4 linked regions of the Xenopus tropicalis genome follow. The main gene of each other region encodes a partner of the protein of the gene in region 3 in a complex. Links are inferred from orthologs where the notes say so. Each region holds a gene or a part of one and is shown on either strand. Other genes may lie near its edges. The genes, in order: lsm8, lsm3, lsm4 and usp39.

What was found.
Region 1: lsm4 (region 3) and lsm8 share a complex: the UniProt entries of both Homo sapiens proteins name them as parts of the precatalytic spliceosome. The link is inferred for Xenopus tropicalis from reciprocal best matches to the Homo sapiens genes LSM4 and LSM8.
Region 2: lsm4 (region 3) and lsm3 share a complex: the UniProt entries of both Homo sapiens proteins name them as parts of the precatalytic spliceosome. The link is inferred for Xenopus tropicalis from reciprocal best matches to the Homo sapiens genes LSM4 and LSM3.
Region 4: lsm4 (region 3) and usp39 share a complex: the UniProt entries of both Homo sapiens proteins name them as parts of the U4/U6-U5 tri-snRNP complex. The link is inferred for Xenopus tropicalis from reciprocal best matches to the Homo sapiens genes LSM4 and USP39.

What each region holds. Positions count from the first base shown.
Region 1 is NC_030679.2:68,680,128-68,684,443, reverse strand, and holds the start of lsm8 (LSM8 homolog, U6 small nuclear RNA associated), read right to left. Parts: upstream 2,805-4,316; 5' UTR 2,679-2,804; coding exon 2,648-2,678; intron 439-2,647; coding exon 398-438; intron 1-397. UniProt on the Homo sapiens protein: Plays a role in pre-mRNA splicing as component of the U4/U6-U5 tri-snRNP complex that is involved in spliceosome assembly, and as component of the precatalytic spliceosome (spliceosome B complex).
Region 2 is NC_030680.2:132,918,314-132,922,667, forward strand, and holds the start of lsm3 (U6 snRNA-associated Sm-like protein LSm3), read right to left. Parts: upstream 2,847-4,354; 5' UTR 2,834-2,846; coding exon 2,813-2,833; intron 1-2,812. Other genes in the region: xpc (DNA repair protein complementing XP-C cells), read left to right, coding at 3,529-3,613, 4,165-4,306. UniProt on the Homo sapiens protein: Plays a role in pre-mRNA splicing as component of the U4/U6-U5 tri-snRNP complex that is involved in spliceosome assembly, and as component of the precatalytic spliceosome (spliceosome B complex).
Region 3 is NC_030677.2:103,364,906-103,369,099, reverse strand, and holds the start of lsm4 (U6 snRNA-associated Sm-like protein LSm4), read right to left. Parts: upstream 2,859-4,194; 5' UTR 2,833-2,858; coding exon 2,830-2,832; exon of another isoform or gene 2,817-2,829; intron 1-2,816. UniProt on the Homo sapiens protein: Plays a role in pre-mRNA splicing as component of the U4/U6-U5 tri-snRNP complex that is involved in spliceosome assembly, and as component of the precatalytic spliceosome (spliceosome B complex).
Region 4 is NC_030679.2:125,759,309-125,763,511, reverse strand, and holds the start of usp39 (U4/U6.U5 tri-snRNP-associated protein 2), read right to left. Parts: upstream 2,809-4,203; 5' UTR 2,784-2,808; coding exon 2,714-2,783; intron 1,884-2,713; coding exon 1,808-1,883; intron 1,732-1,807; coding exon 1,637-1,731; intron 1,550-1,636; coding exon 1,413-1,549; intron 603-1,412; coding exon 450-602; intron 251-449; coding exon 25-250; intron 1-24. Other genes in the region: UPF0561 protein C2orf68 homolog, read left to right, coding at 3,064-3,164.

The sequences.
Region 1 (4,316 bases), on a different chromosome or scaffold from region 3:
GTGAGTTAGAGATCAGGATTCACTGAGCCCCAGACAAGACATCATCATAAGCAAAATAAAAAAGCAGCTCCTTAGGATCATTAAATCCTTCTAGATATGGCTATGCATTCACTTTGTGTAGTGCTTAAAAATGCAGCTATAGCAAAGGTTGAACTTGCCACAACCAGAACTTCAGGACCAAAGTGTAATGTCAACAGAAGGTGAAAAATGAGCATCTGTACCTAGCCAAGCACTTTGATACAAAACACAGTACAGATAGAAGCACTGCTTCATTAGATTTGCTTATTCTCCTCCAAAGGATCTTGGGCCTGGCTCCACCTACAGATACATGCTGAGGAAATATATGAATGTAATTCTAATAGCAAATATTAAGCAAGTAAAGTAAATAAATACTTACCACAATCATTCTACCATCTGATGTAATTACAGCTACAGTTCCTGAATCTTATGTCAAGGAATTATTTTAATCTGTAAAACGTTATCATAAAAAATATAGAGCACCATTTTCAAAGTGAAACGAGTTCTTTATAATGCATCATCTACTGTAATGTGTGCGATTCCCTTAACTACAACATATTCACATTTTCTCTAAGGTTGGACAATGGCATAAAACACATTACAGGGTAGTCAGGCTACAGGGGCCACAAGTGAAGTTAATATTACGAATTTTTGGACCATGGATCCTTGAAAAAATAAAAAGTCTACTTCAACACCTCATAATATAATGTTGGAAAAAGCATTTTGAAGTTTGCAAAAATTATTTTTAATGTATTCAATTTTGTATCCAGAAGTGCAGCTTACATTCCCGTCTCTTCTAACATGTAATTTATATTACTCTGGGAGTCAGCTTTGTAACCCAGAATTTGGTTTAGAATGAAGGATGCCTCCCTCCTTTAATTTACTATTTATTGCATATCGTCAGTATACTGTATAGTGCCCAATGGGGTACATCACTCAGCTTAAGAGCCCCCAGGGCTGTGGAGTCAGTACACAAATCCTCAGTTTATGATACCTCTGACTTCCGGTACCCAATATTGCTTATTGCTCTAAGATCCCCTGTTGTATATAATCATGCAAAATGTTTTCTCCACTTTTGCTTTTAATGCATTATATAAACCTGTAGTACAGGTATGGGATCCCTTATCCGGAAACCCGTTATCCAGAAAGTTCCGAATTACAGGAAGGTCATCTGCCATAGATGCCATTTTAATCAAATAATTCCGATTTTTAAAAATGGCTGCTCTGTAATAATAAAACAGTACCTTGTACTTGATCCCAACTAAGATAGAATGAATCCTTATTGGATGCAAATCAACCTTATTGGGTTTATTTAATGTTTAAATTATTTCTTAGTAGACTTAAAGGAACAGTAACACCAAAAAATGTATATATTTTAAAGAAATTAAACTATAACGTACTGCTGCGCTGCATTGGTAAAAATTGTGTGTTTGCTTCAGAAACATTACTAGAGTTTATATAAACCCTGGTGTGTAGCCATGGGGGCAGCCATTCAAAAGAAGAAAAGGCACAGGTTATACAGCAGCTAACAGATAAACCCTGTAGAATACAATGGTGTCTTATCTGTTATTTGCTATGTAACCTGTGCCTTTTCTCCTTTTTTCCAGCTTGAATGGCTGCCCCCATGGCTACACAGCAGTGTATTTATATAAACTATAGTAGTGTTCCTGAAGCAAACACCCGAGTTTTACCATTGCAGGGCAACAGTGCGTTATATTTCAATTACTTTAAAACACTTTCATTTTATGCTGTTACTGTTCCTTTAAGGTAGGAGATCCAAATTACAGAAAGACCGCTTATCCGGAAAACCCCAAGTCCAGGACATTCTGGTTAACAGGCCCCGTACCTGTAATAAAACGCTATACTGATGTACTGAAAAATTCTCACTTTTTTTTATTGAAAAATGAAATACTTTTCCTACTAGCCGCACAATAGTGTATTACTGTATATTACTGAATGTCAGTGCTTCTGGACCACAGCAGTTTTCCTACTAGAGTTCTAATTTAACATAGAATAATATAGCCAAGCAAATGTAACATAGGCAAACCCGTGCTCCATGTATAATATCATCCCCTCACTCCATGTATAATATCATCCCCTCGCATTAGATTTGAGCATTTCACACTATAGGTAAGTTACAGGGGGAAAGGGCACTAACAGGCATTCATTTAAAAGGGAGGTTTAAAATGAATACCACCTGTTATACTTTCAGCTGGCTAAAAAATAAAAAAACAGACGCTAACTGGTAATTGGTTGCTAGGGGTTACAGCCCAGGTCAACATTGGCCCTGTGATAAGTAAGTCGGGGTTCCCCCAGGGAATACAGGAACCGGACGATAAACTGTAATTAAAGCTACTTAGGACCCTCAGACGAATGATGAAGTAACATGCATCCCCCACATACTGTATTTCTCTAGCACAAGTCGCTTTCCAAACAATAGCCCCCAAGCCGTGCTAGGCTACATTTCCCACAATACCCCGGTATCAGAGAGTTGTAGCAGCCGAGCTCAGAGAGCAGGGGAGACTGCTAATCTGCATGTTTATTCTGACCGTCGGGTTAAAAGTCGCACACCATAGGTTCTCAGTGCAAGCCCTCCGCATATTATGCCAACAACCCCAACAAAGGATACGGTTGATATAATTCTCCAAAGCTGATGCCATATTGGAATCGTATCCGCTGCAACTACAAACACACGCGCAGGAAATCCACGGCTCTAGCGAGGAAATTCTACGTCATTGTTAGGCGACTGAGCAAAGCCCCGCCCCTTAGTGAAAGGAGCAAGTGCGCGTTATCTGAAGTTTGCATTCATTTTGTGCGTGTGTGTGTGCGTTGGTTTCTTAATGATAGCGTATTTCTGAGCTGGGAAGATAATAGGAGGGAATATTGTATGGGAAAATGCTTTGACTCCAGTTATGATGTTAGATAACTAACGTTTCTGATGTGGTAAAGATCGCATATGTAATCAGCGCCGAATCCATTGTAAAGGGTTTGGTAGAATACCTAACTGAATCCGAATTAGCAGGTGCTAATTAGGTTATGGAAGGGTTAAATCTTCATTAGCATATGCTGATTAGGTTACGGAGAGGTTACATTTTCAAAAGGCCGAATCCTGGATTCAGTGCATCCCTAGTAATCAGGTTTATTTTGGAGAGAGAAACCTATTGCTAGAAGTGAAATTATGTTTTTGAACCATGGGTTAAAGCAATACTGTCATGGGAATACGTGTTTATTATATAATTAATAATAACACATGGGGCTAGCCATTTCCTTACTAGTCCAGGTGGCCCTGCTCTAAATACTTGTCTTTTTTTACTGCTGCACTGCAAGTTGGAGTGATGTCACCCCCCCCCCCTTCCCTTTCCTCTGGTGAAGGATTCAGCTGCCTGAACTGATAGTGCCTCCATAGGCTAATAGCACTGCTTGTGCTGTCTTGAGTTTTAGGGGCACATTTACTAATCCACAAATGCTCCGAATGTGTTTTTTTCGTAATGATCGGTATTTTGCGATTTTTTTCGTAAATTGTCACGACTTTTTCGTAACCATTATGATTTGCGCAAATTATCGCAACTTTTTCGGAGCCGTCGCGCCGAGTACAAAAGTTTCGGATTCATTCAAGCTTCAGTATCATGACTTTTCTTGGGCCAGGTTGGAGCTGTAGAGTACCATTGAGTCCTATGGGAGGCTTCCAAAATCATGCAAAGTCTGAAAGGTTTGCCCGCCATTTACGAGCGCTCAATACAAAAAAGTTGCGACAATATACGAGCAAATCGTAACGGCTACGAAAAAGTCGCGACAATTCGCGCAAGTCGTAATGGTTACGAAAAAGTTGTAACGGCGACGAAAAAAATCGCAAAAAATACGAAAAAGTCGCAAAATGTTCGTTTTCCAATCTGAATTTTTCCCATTCGGATTCGTGGATTAGTAAATCAGCCCCTTAGTGAGCAGGTAAACAGGCAAAACTGCCTATACTCCATCCCAATAATTTAAGGTGGCTTTAGGCATTTCTCTGCCAGCTAATATACACTAGCTAATATACACTAGCCACACCTAGTGGTTGATATGACCCTTAAAGTCACCTAAAATAAATGGGTGTCAGTAATAACGTCTCCCTACTTAATGGACTGGTAGCAACAAAAAATTAATGTTTTATGTGCATTAAGAGGAGACCCAGACTCACGAGGGGTTAGGTACACTGTAGAAATGATGTTTTTCTCTAAGTCGAGTGGCCATTTTTAACCAGCTTAACCAAAGTGATCGTCTGGGAGAGGTGCTTTGACAGACTGGAGTTTAGCACATTT
Region 2 (4,354 bases), on a different chromosome or scaffold from region 3:
CATGTCTGCTTAATAAGTTATTCTGTGTGTTTGAGCGGTAGTTTCTTTTTAGTATGATTCAATTTATAGTTTTCAGTTTAAACCTAGTCCTGTGTTTCTGCCTCTATCTTAAAACTGTTTTTGCTGGATACATAAGAGTTGCCTGTATATTGTTTAACCCCTTAGCTGCAAAGTAATAATCATCTGCTTTTACCACAAATTCTGGTCCCCTTTCTTTTGCAGATGGTGCCGTGATATATTAGCCTCCTTATAATTATGATATTATAAAAAGTACTTTCAAGGAAATGTAAACCCAAGAAAACAGTCTCAAAACTGCCCAGCACTCTATTCAGAGCACTTTTGCAGTTGACTTTTTTCCCCCCCATGTCTTTCGAAGGTTTACATTTCCTTTAAACGAGTAATGGCACTTCTGATTCTATATTCCAGTGAATAAGTTGCAAATATTTAGCAATAGCAGTCTTTTAAGCCACACAATCAAGTGTCAGTGCTTGCAGGGGTACAGAGTATTTGCATGAGTTTAGTAACTCAGCATCCACAGGACCTTTGGGGGGGGGGGGGGGGGGAAGTGTGAAGGGCAGCAGGTCCTCAGGCAACTAAACTCAAGCTTGCTTGATCATTTGTCAATATATGAGAAGACTTGTCATATCTTTGTTGTGCTGGCTCCAAGAACATATATTAGCCAATGCCCGTCTGTTCCATTGTTTACTTTTGCACTTAACCTAGCCCATCAAAATAAAGACTTGTGCAGGGAATGTTAATCTAATGATTGTGATCTGTTCCTCTCATCCACTGACTGATTTAATGACAAAAACGGTCAAGCCCATCTGATCAAATGTTGGGACAATGCAGTTGAAATGATCGTATATTTTACAATCGTTTCCCCCTGAATGTAACAATAAGTTAATAATAAAGCAAATTTTATTGGTTCACTGTAAAGGTGGCCTTACACGCTAAGATCCACTCGCTTTGCGAAGTCACCAAGCAAGCGGATCTTCTCCCAATATCCCCATCTATGGGTGGGCAATATCAGGCTAATTCGGTCGTTTGGCCCCAGGGTCAAATGTCCGAATTAGGACGACGGCCATAGGCGTCTGTCTGTTTGGGGACTGCATTAACGAGCCAATGCAGTCCCCGATCAGACTGATTTTTAAACCTGCCTGATCGAGATCTGCCCGATGTCAGTTGGGCAGGCCTGTCGTTAATGCCCATACACGGCCAATAAGCTGCCGAATTGGTCTAAGGGACTGATATCGGCAGCTAGAATCAGCCCATGTATGGCCACCTTAAAACTGGTTGTTTCACATGACAAAATCTGCTTGTGTATGGGCACCTTTATTGTTTTGAGCAGTCAGATTTGATCTACAGTTACCAAATAGCATTTCTTTTCTCCCCTGCATGGGATTGTAAGGTCTGTGGGGCAGGGACCTCCTTCCTCTTGTCTAGGACACTTAGCACTATACCTTTAATGTAACTGTACTATTTGTATTTTAATTATAAATAAAGCCCAGAGTGTAGTTTCACTAGTGTGAAGTACAATACTCTTGTATTTGTGTCTTGTTGTTTTTTTATTATTATTTTTGACACTGGCTAACACGGTACTACAGTTTTTGTTTTGTAACCTGAGCTATTAAAACCTTACAGTTTTCATTTTTTGTCTTGTTTGAACTTTAGATTTAAGGAATGCTTGTGGTGTCTTTAATAAAAAGCCAAAATGACAGACTTAGGTTATAGATTTAGACCCGCTTGGGCAGCCAATAGGGTAGTGAACCAGCTGCCTAGCCAGTAGTTATTTAGTTTGCTCCCAAAAACATGCACCACCTCCATACAGCTTTCAAACTGCTGAGCTTTGGCAGTGATGAAATGTATGTTGTGTTCTTCCAATCAACATGGATTGACACATTAGTAAATTAGGAGACATGTTGGATAAATGGGAAAACCCCTCATTTTGTAGGCAATTATGAATAATATCCGGTGCTGGTTTCATTTTGGGCTAAACATTAACCCTATCTGTAACAATGGCCCCTTTATTGGAGCTCCCTATAGATCCTCTCAGGTCCCTGTCTGTGTTTCAAATGAGGGGTGGGCGTGTCCTAACGGTCCCTGCTAGAAGAACAGTAGGAGGGGGAGAGCCAATCACAGCCCTGCACTCACAAAAGCACAGACAGGCTTCAGTTCCCTATCAGGTCAGCCTAGCTGCTGATTGGTTCCTATCTTAGAGTGCCCCGGCTCCCCTGCACATCCAGAGAATTCAGCCAGCAGGAAGTGGAACAGATGGGCGGGGCTAGTGGGGTTTGGGGGGATTCTCAAATCAGTCCGAAACAACTTTTTTTTTTTTTAAGCACAATCCTATATCTAGGAGTATAATTCACTAGTATATTCTTAAATTTTATAGGATGTGTCCCTAAAAAACAGGAGTCAAGAGTCAATTGGGAGATAAACTCAGAAATCTGAGGTATAGAAACTAAAACAAGCCTTGTGCTTCTATTGTTTGAATATATTGACGCCATCAGCCACACAGAACATACATTTCATTTTACTCCTGACCACAACAACTGGGTTTTTAATCAGATTTACATCGCTAGTTATGAATATAAACACACTCCACCGGTGCTTCACGATTAAAAAAAAAAAAAGGCTTTGAAATAAAAGAGAAAACAGTCCAGTTTGAATAAACATTCACTTAATTCCCCGCAACATAAAAAAACCCTATACGCGTTCCCAAGCGAGACCGGGCCAGGAGCACCCCTTATGCCGCACTGCGCCGAGAACCGAACAGAACCTGTTTTCCAGTCTTATAAACCCACATCCCTACCTGCTCTCCGTCGTCCGCCATCTTCAAAACCCCGCGCAAAGGAAATAGCCGAGAACCCTGACAATTCTCCTATCGCGATATTTATGTGCCACAGGAAGAATGTGAAGCTCGGCCAATAGCGTGAGAGTATGGGCAGTAAGTGGCGGAGGCCTGGATGTGACGCTTGGCCAATAGCGTGAGAGTATGGGCAGTAAGTGACGGAGGCCGGAATGTGTAGCTCAGCCAATAGTGTGAGAGTATGGGCAGTAAGAGGCGGAGGCCTGGATGTGAAGCTCGGCCAATAGCGTAAGAGTATGGGCAGTAAGTGGCGGAGGCCTGGATGTGACGCTTGGCCAATAGCGTGAGAGTATGGGCAGTAAGTGACGGAGGCCGGAATGTGTAGCTCAGCCAATAGTGTGAGAGTATGGGCAGTAAGAGGCGGAGGCCTGGATGTGAAGCTCGGCCAATAGCGTAAGAGTATGGGCAGTAAGTGACGGAGGCCGGAATGTGAAGCTCAGCCAATAATGTGAGAGTATGGGCAGTAAGTGTCGGAGGCCGGAATGTGAAGCTCAGCCAATAATGTGAGAGTATGGGCAGTAAGTGGCGGAGGCCTGGCAGCGGGGTGCACATGTGTATGTTCCGGAAGTGACGCGTTAATGTTATTGTCTGAGACAGATTGTTTCCTGTTGTGTGGGTTATACAACCAGAGGGGACATGTGAGGTAGAATTGTGGGGAGATGGCAAAGCGGAGGGGGTCTGAGGGTGCTGCGGTAGCGGGGAACAAGCAGAGAAACCGCCCGGCAATAGACTCCCTGCATGGTGGTGAGTTTCTATGGGGTCTGCATGTCTATAGAGATTTTCATTCATCTTGTGAATGATATACAGTAACACGTAAAATGAAATCTAAACACAGACTTAATTCACAGACTTAAATAGACTTAATTCTTATAGGTACTGTATGGGGACACTGTGCAGAGTTTCTAAATAGGCTGGGAATAATACTGTAGTGAGTGCAGATTGAACCCTATGGGCATCAGCCCTGTACTATTCACTATACTGGTTTTAAGATTCTTCTATGATTGCTAAGGTAACCCCTAGAAACCAGATAAATTAAATACAAACCTTGACAACATAATTCAGAGACCAGATGAAATAAAAAATAAAGACCAGTTGCAGATTGTGTTAGTATTATGCCATCTGGACAATATTAAAAGATAGGCAGAGTTAGCCCTTGAATTGTGCATGGGCTTTTATTTCTGTGCTAAATGATTAACTACCAATGCTTTGGGCTCTGGTGGAACATTACAGGTCGTTTGCACTTAGCTCTTCATCCTTCCTATTTAATAAAGGGGCATCTTGTTTTAACCATGTAGATGACGAAGATAAATTCTATGAAGAGAAGAGACCCCCAGTTAAGAAGAGTAAAGATTCCTGCGGTGACAGTCTGACGAAGCAAAGTTGTGTAGCCAAGAGACCGACTGTAAATGATGGGAAAACAGTTGGAAAACAAACACAGTGAGTCATCTTGGTTGAGTTGATTGGTTTTACAACAATGCAGGAGAG
Region 3 (4,194 bases):
AGCCTCATTAAATAAATAAGGAAAAATAAAACACTTCATTCCCACTGATTGTTTAGAGCAAGGCTGTCAGACTGAAAGCCAAAAGAACAAATGTGGAGCTTTTTTTAGGGCCCTCCACAAGGACAATATCTCCTTCAATTTGTTTCATTGTTTCATCTTTTTTTTTACCCTGCTGTTGCAGAGGGGCCTACGAGTGTAGGCAGTCCAGCGGAGCCATAACTAATGAGCAATTTCAATATATCTTGATAGAATAGGTCAATTTACCAGTGTTTTGGACCCAAGTGTGTGAGGCCTGTAGAAAATAACCCATTTACATAGGTTTCAAAACTCTGTACTTACTAAAGTCATTAAAGTGAGACCTTAGGATTAACTTTAACTCAGGCATATACAACTGGATTCTAATACAAGCTACACCTTGCCACAGATTGTTTCTTTTTTTAATTTTTTTTATGCAAAAAATGATATTCTAATGCTTGAAACAAAAACATATGTGGATGCTAAGAATCAAAAAGCTTTTTTGAAATCAAACTGCAAGGTAAAAATAAGGGGGGGATGAAAGGAATAATAATAATAATACGACCTGTAATAATAAAATAAAGCTTTACATTAAATCTGTTGTAGTTGCCAGGGTCAAGGATCCCAACAACTTGACAGTATTTGTATCTTCAGACTGAAAAAAGCCAAAAAGGAAGAGCCCCTGGCCAGGTCCAGCTATAACATGCCTAATGCCAATGCAACAGTTAACTTCCCCTTTGAAACAAGCCCACCAATAAGGAGCATTTAATTATTTATGATGCTACTCCAATTTCTGCCTATCTTGTTTATTACACACTTGCAATATAAGAGGTTTTAAGCAACATATTTATACTGTCAATTTTGCTATCTGTGGTGTGCTGGATGGCACATTATTAAAGATGCAGAACTTATTTTATTTCAATAATGATGTGTCCTTTTAAATAATATAATATATAATAAATAATACTATAATAATAATAATAATAAGCATCCTTGTTGACCTTAATTACATAAAAGCTATTACCATACAGTAGAATTTATGCCAAAATTTCACACTTCAATAGTAAGCATATGAAACAAAATTAAAACCAGTGTAGTGCTTATCTTATTATTATACTAACTACTGAACTTTCTAACCAAGTTTAATACAGATGCATGACTTTTTGCACAATTTTTTAATTTGGGACTTTGCATTCACTTATTATGTTTAAAATGTAATCTGTTTTTACCCAATAATGAACAATGCCCCATGATGTAAGTTAAAAAAGTAAGATTGCTAAGACCTTTCAAAAAGAAAATCTAAATGATATGCTGTGTCACTAACTCTTTATAAATGCATACTTTCAGAGCACATGATGGACATTGCCAAGGGAAAACTATACCCCCAAACAATGCAGGTCTCTAAAATAATATTTTACAAAAAGCAGATCATAGTTAAAGCACTGCTTCATCAAAATACACAATTTTCATAAAAATATACTTTTGTAGCAGTATGTGACCATGGATAATTCTAAGTTAAAAAAAAAGTCATTTTAATTACTAAGGGCCACCCCCTGTTATGAAATGATTCACAGTGCACACAAACACACATATATGTTAGGGTACATGAGCCAATTAATGGGGACAGTTCTGACTTTTACTCCCACATTTCTTCCTGTTACAGGTAGAGCTGCATTATTAAATAACAATTAGTAAGATTGAGAAAGAAAACCTAAGATGTATCTCACTGAAAGGTCCTGAAATACCATACAATAATTAAACACATTATTCAGTGAAAAACACAACCATTTATTGGCTCAGAATTTAAATACAAAATTCAAAAAACATAACATAAAACATACTATACCAAATGGAAGGTACATCCCATGCTACCTGGCACCCTTTCTCCTTCCTAACGCGTTTCGCACACTAAGTGCTTCATCAGAGGAATGCCCATGTCACTTCCCTTTTTATACCCAAAACTTTTAATTTGCACATTTTTCAGGGTTACCATTAAGGCCCTGTAACAAGCATATATCATACATTACTATATCAAAAGCTTTTTCGGGGTTACCATTAAAGCCCTGTAATAAGCACATACTATATCAAAGCTTCAAATATACATCTTACAGGGCCTCCCAAAGAAAAACCGCCCGCCCTGTACTAAGCACAAATTATACAAGTTAATCAAAAAAGTGAAATCTAAAACTTATAATTAAATGTGAAAAGATATGAATAATATCTTAATACACACTAGAGCTGCATTATTCCCTGACGTGATCTCTGAGGGAGCACACAGCCCATCACTAAATGGTGGCTCAATGTGGAAAAGGCCAATATTAACCAATATATATTCCAATTTGGTAACATTCTTTAATAGGTTCCTTTTTAGTAAATAATGTATCTGTTGGTTAAGTACTCAGTCAGGGGGTATAGTTTGCCTATAATATATGTAAAATATTTAATTCTCAGACCAGTATCCAAAAATCCCCCTTCACTGATTATATGAGCCAATCAATTATCTAAAGAAAACATGTTGCACAAGAGGTCCTTCCACCAGCTTCTCCCTAACCCAGACAAATAAAGCTGCAGAGCTCGCCCGCAACGGGACCCTGATAGAACTAAAAAAAACCCGAGACGATTCTGTGTAACAATGAGTTAACAGGACAGGCGGGAACATACATGCCGGCTAGGAGTGACAGAGAAACTAGTAAGACTAAATGGTTATAACATGCCCAAATTGTAAGCACACAAATCAAGTATATCGCCATTTCTAGCTATAAGAACAACGCAGGCGAATGTAGTCAAACCCCGTGTCCCACCCAGGTAACTCGCCATGTTTCGCTCTGTACCGCGCTCCCTCACGGTCACTTCCGCCCGTTGCTCAGACAACAAGCGCAGAGACTGTTGGGCAAAGGAAGCCTTTGGTGACACCTTCCTGTACCAATAGTATCGGGCTAGTCCTATCCACCAATGGTGGTGTCGAATAAACAGGCCATGTGATCATAAGGCGCTGCCATCGTGGTTAAGGGAAAGAGGAGTTCTGTAGTTTCTGCTTATAGGGAACTGACGTAGAAAAACAAACATTTATTTGGTGCAGAGGGGATTATATAGTATTCTAAAATTAGTATGACTAAGCGAACAAAGGGAAGTGTGGTTTCTGGTAGTTGTGGAAGGGTAGTCTGCTATTCATTATATCTAGTCACAGCGCGCTAAAGGACATGTCAACCCCCCAAAAATGTTTTGCCTAATAAAAGAAAACAATTCTAAGCAACTTTCCAATATCAATTTATTAAAGATTATTAGTGCTTTAAAAGTTATTTGTAAATGTAATGTAATGCTATAGAAAGCAGCATTTGCTGAACTCCTGGTTGTTACATTTTAAACAATGTTGCAAGTGCCAGGCTCCTCCAGCAAGTCAGGTCTGTAAAATCTGCTGGTGTTTGTTACATTGTTTCAAACACCAGACCCCTCAGGGTAGAGAATAAAAAGGACAAGCAGACACTGCTTTTAATAGCTGGTATATATATACAAATAACTCAAAAACCATTACAAATATGTAATGAATGTATATTGCAAAGTTGCTTAGAATTAAGTTTTCTTTTATTAGGAAAAAGATTATTTTTGGGTTTGACATATATTTGAAAAATATTAATCCTGTTTATTAAAATCACTTACTTGATGCCCTGGGAAAGTGCTCCTATTAGCTGAAAACTGCACTGGACCAGGGTATTTCTGAAGAAGCTCTTTTGGTGCAATCTTCTCTTCTGCCTTCATTTCTTTGGGCGCGTTAGGGCGAAAAAGCTCAGTTTTTCACTTTACTGCTTATATGCCTGCCTGGACTGGAACAAAGAAGTCAAACAATATGGTGAAGAGCAGCTTCTTTAGAAATACCCTAAGCCAGTGCAATTTTGTAGGGAACAGGAGGACCAGCCTGGGGTATCAGGCAAGCAATTAGATTTAATGTGGGTTGCTAATAATCTATGGAAAAAGAAATTCACATTCCAACTAGGGATGTCATCTTTTCATTTAGCTAAATCCGGAAGGTAGGCAGGGCGGGTGACATCAGGGGGGTTGTAGGTGATGTCGTAGAGTCGTTAGTGCTTTAAGGGGGTGTAGCTATGACCTGGAGATCACTAATTGGCCGATCATTTGGGGCTTAGAATTTAGGCTAGTGCCACATGGGGATAATTCTCGGCC
Region 4 (4,203 bases), on a different chromosome or scaffold from region 3:
GGACAGAGGGGTGGAGATATTCACCTTGCTTGGTGATCTGGAAATTTTTCTTGCTGCAAAGAACAACAGCCTGGAGCATCTCATGTGGGGAGACATGAGCCTTAAAATTCCTGGGGTTCCACAGTTTGCGCATTAATTCCCCAAATCTCTGCACAAGCAGGAACATGATATCCCCAGGAGGGCGCTTAATATCACAATAATTCTCTTCCTCCAGAAAGTAATTTCTCAGAGGAGGAACATTGGAGAGAGCCTGGAAGTGACCATAAAGAAATTAGTGTACATTGGCCATGAAATCTGCACTATGGTCTGTGGGAGCAAAAGTGTTTAAAGTGTTTCAGACTGATGAATGTTAGGGCATCCAGTGAAATAGATGAGAGATGATTCTCTGCTGCAGTGAAGGTGAGGTGGTTAACTGTTACACAGGCCCTGTATATTGTGAAAATTCCTACCTGCAAAACAGCATTGGCATAATCATTAGCTTTGATATTGTTAAGTCCCACGATGCCTGGGAGGTAAGTGGTACCATCATATGCTCGAGAAAGCTTGGCCTGTTTGTCTAAGTTACCAATTTGCTGCTTGGTGAAGGTTGGCTTCAGCACATACTGTAGAAGACAAAGAGATAGTTACTAAAAACATGAAAAGCAAAGTTAATATGGGGGGGGGGGGGTGACACAGTTGAACAGACAGAGACAGTATAGAAATAATGTGCACATTTTACAAAGCCCTTTACTTCTGTAAGAACAGCTACCTTTCTCTCTTATGGCCTGAGGCCATCTATGTTCTCAATCCAAGGAGAAACCCAGTCCTTGTTTCCATGTGTAGATTCACACTTATATAAAAAAAAAAAAAAAAAAAAAAAAAAAAAAAAGAACTTTGAAAGACTGTACTGAAGAATGGGGGCCAGCCAAAGGAAGGGGAAAAATGCTAAGGCAACAGGCAGCTAGTGGAGCTAGACATTTCTGCCATCACTGGGCTTATGTTTCCCTGTTACTGACCATAAAATCTGCTTTTTGATGTATGCCCTGCTGTGTGTTGCATGATCAGAGCAGTACAGGTGATCCATGGCTCTTTTGCGGATAATATGCTATTCTACCTTTCCCATCCTAATTGCTGGCTGTGGTTGAACTCACTAAAGGAGACGTATGTGTTGTGATAGACACATCAAGTTAGTGAAGGGATTGTTGCTCTTGAGTATAAGAGTCTAAGAGTATAAGAGTCTTTAACTTACCGACACCTGTGTTATATAAGTCAACAGTGCACTCTAAAAACTCTGGGAACGCCATACCACTTGTACTGGGCACTAAGATTGCACCTTGGGCAAATATGAACTGGGCCATCCTGATTTTTTGTCTTCATATTAGAAAATGCCAAGGTCACATAAACAAATGGGGCAAGAGAGGATGTGCAAGTACCGTAATGTCTTCCAGGGAGGAGTCAATGATATTATAGTTGTCCGGCAGGCAGTAGAACTTCAGTGTGTGCAGATTAAGGAAAACATGGTGACTGAACTGAACACTGTGGATATAGGCATGGGACTTCAAGCCTCGACCTTGGGGGGGGAAAAAAAAAAAAAAAAGAGAAAAATTTGACAAAATAAGGGCTCATCTGAACAACACACTCTGTGCCACTTACTTACCCTGGAAGTATTTCCCGCATACAAGGCAAGCATATGCATTAATGTGAGAAAGAGAGATGGAACACAGCTTCTCAAAATCAAAGTCCAAGACACTCCTGGTAAGAACAGAACCAGTGTTATTTGTGAGCAGTACATAATCAACACAGTCCCAAGCAAAACAACCAGACTGACCTGTTAATGGTATCCAGATATGGGCAATGGCGACTACGTCTGTCTTCAAAGTCATACCGCCCGTGCTTTCCTACAACTGCCAGCATTACATGCACGTGTTATATATATGTTATATGTACAGTTCTGAAGTTAAACATGCACAATTCACCTGTATCACCCACTTAAACTGCTTGGCCTGCAAATCACACTTGGATTGCCAGGAAAACATTATGGAAGAGTGACACTGCCATTACTTGGGCTAAAATCACAGGTAGGGATCAGAGGGTGGCAGCAAATGTGAACCTAGTTTCATACAGAAATTAATGACCTAAATGGTCCAATCAGCCATCCTTGTGTCCAGCTTTAGAGGTACCATGCTGGGACACCATGCACAGACATGGCCGGAGCACTGACAAAACAGGTTTAATGATCCTGTTTTGGGGGGGATTCCATATTTTCTCGGTGGGGGCCCTAGTAATGGTGGGGGCCCCGGTAATGGTGGGGGCCCCGGTAATGGTGGGGGCCCCGGTAATGGTGGGGGCCCCGGTAATGGTGGGGGCCCCGGTAATGGTGGGGGCCCCGGTAATGGTGGGGGCCCTAGTAATGGTGGGGGCCCTTGTAATGGTGGGGGCCCTAGTAATGGTGGGGGCCCTAGTAATGGTGGGGGCCCTGGTAATGGTGGGGGCCCCGGTAATGGTGGGGGCCCCGGTAATGGTGGGGGCCCTAGTAATGGTGGGGGCCCTAGTAATGGTGAGGGCCCTGGAGAAATTCCTTCTCTGACACAGTGACAGACACAAGCGGAGGAAGCACATATTTATTATCCCCCCACGCTAACACATGTGCACCACTCTTTTTCATTCGCTTTTACTCAATCAATCCGTTACACTATTCACACCAAGTCGCATCAATAGAATGAGTTTCCCTCACCTCTCTCATCATCATCATCGTCGTCGTCTTCCTCCTCCATCTCCAGTTTCACCCGCTTCTCAGCGTTCATTCTGCCTCCACCGACTCTCCTGCGTGTCTCGCCTCTCTTTGGACTGAAGCCCCTCCCCCACGCCGCTTCCGTACACTTTCCTATACAACAGGAACGAGTCACGGAACGCTAATGTCAGGGATGCATTGATTGGCTACATTAGCCTTTGTCGAAACAAAAACAGCCAATCGCTATCTCTCCTACAATCGGCTGCGACGGGATAGTTCCTACCAGCGGTAGCTAGGGGGCGGTATTGGGATTGAAAGGGTGCCCGTGTTGGAAGTAGACTAGAGCCGGGAGTATGCAGGAGGAAGTGGAGGTGCAGGGCAAAGCCGGGCCCGGTGGGAGGCTGGATATGAATCACGGCTTCGTTCACCATATCCGGCGGAATCAGATCGCGAGGTAATAGGGCTGGCAGCGGCCGGAACTTTTTCCTTTAAAAAGCAGAAACACTGAGACTGTTCACGTAGTGTTGGCCATGGGGCTGCTTCCATGAAGGTTATACTGGTGCTGTTGGGGCCAATCTATTCATATACCATCCCTGCCATGGCATTGCCTGGTACTTGTGTTCCTAAAGCTGGCAGGACTTCAAATGCACTGAAATATGAACTAGTGTTTCCTTGCTAAATAAATGACAGATTTGCTTCTGAAATTCCAATATTTGTGTAGCCAAACTCCTTTGGGCAGTGGAGGCAGCTGTTCAGTTCCAAAAGGGCTGTCCCATTCATGCTTCTCTAGCGGATTCCTGTTGAGATTTTGAAGTGACCACACCCACTTTTAAAGTCCGCACCTTTTTAAACTTGGATGGGGCTATTTAATAAAAGGCACTAAGTTTTCCCAGGAGCAGCAACTGATGGAACCAGTCAGCAGGTAGAATTTACTGGTCACCTATTGTAAAGCACATATCTTATTGGTTGCTATGGGTTTAGGGTTGCCACGTCTGTCTGTCCGGGTCAAACTCCCTGCCCCATTTTCCAAATGAGGGAAATCGGACAGAACTCCTGGCACCGATCGCCATGTCATAACCCCACCAAATCCCTCAATGTCATAGACCACACCTCCAACATCATCCGCCTCACCCCATGACATCACCGTTCTGCCTCCCACACAGGCATTCCCCAGTCAGAAGATGGCAACCCTATATGGGTTACTGCTCATGGGCAAACTAGGTACCTTTTAGGAACTTTGCAGGAGCCTTGCATGTCAAACTGTCACAGCCATTGGTCTACTAGCATTCTGGGTTGTTTTCAAAATTACTATATACCAGTGTGGGCATGCTCAAAAACAGGGCACTAGCCATTTCCTAACGATTATCACCTGACCCAAGAGTGCACTGGAAGGGCCTAGACTGGTGATTAGTGGTTGGGCATTATAGAACATTTAGTCACCCCTGAGCTGAAATCATGCAGGGGCAAATGTACACAACCTCCTCATGTGCCAC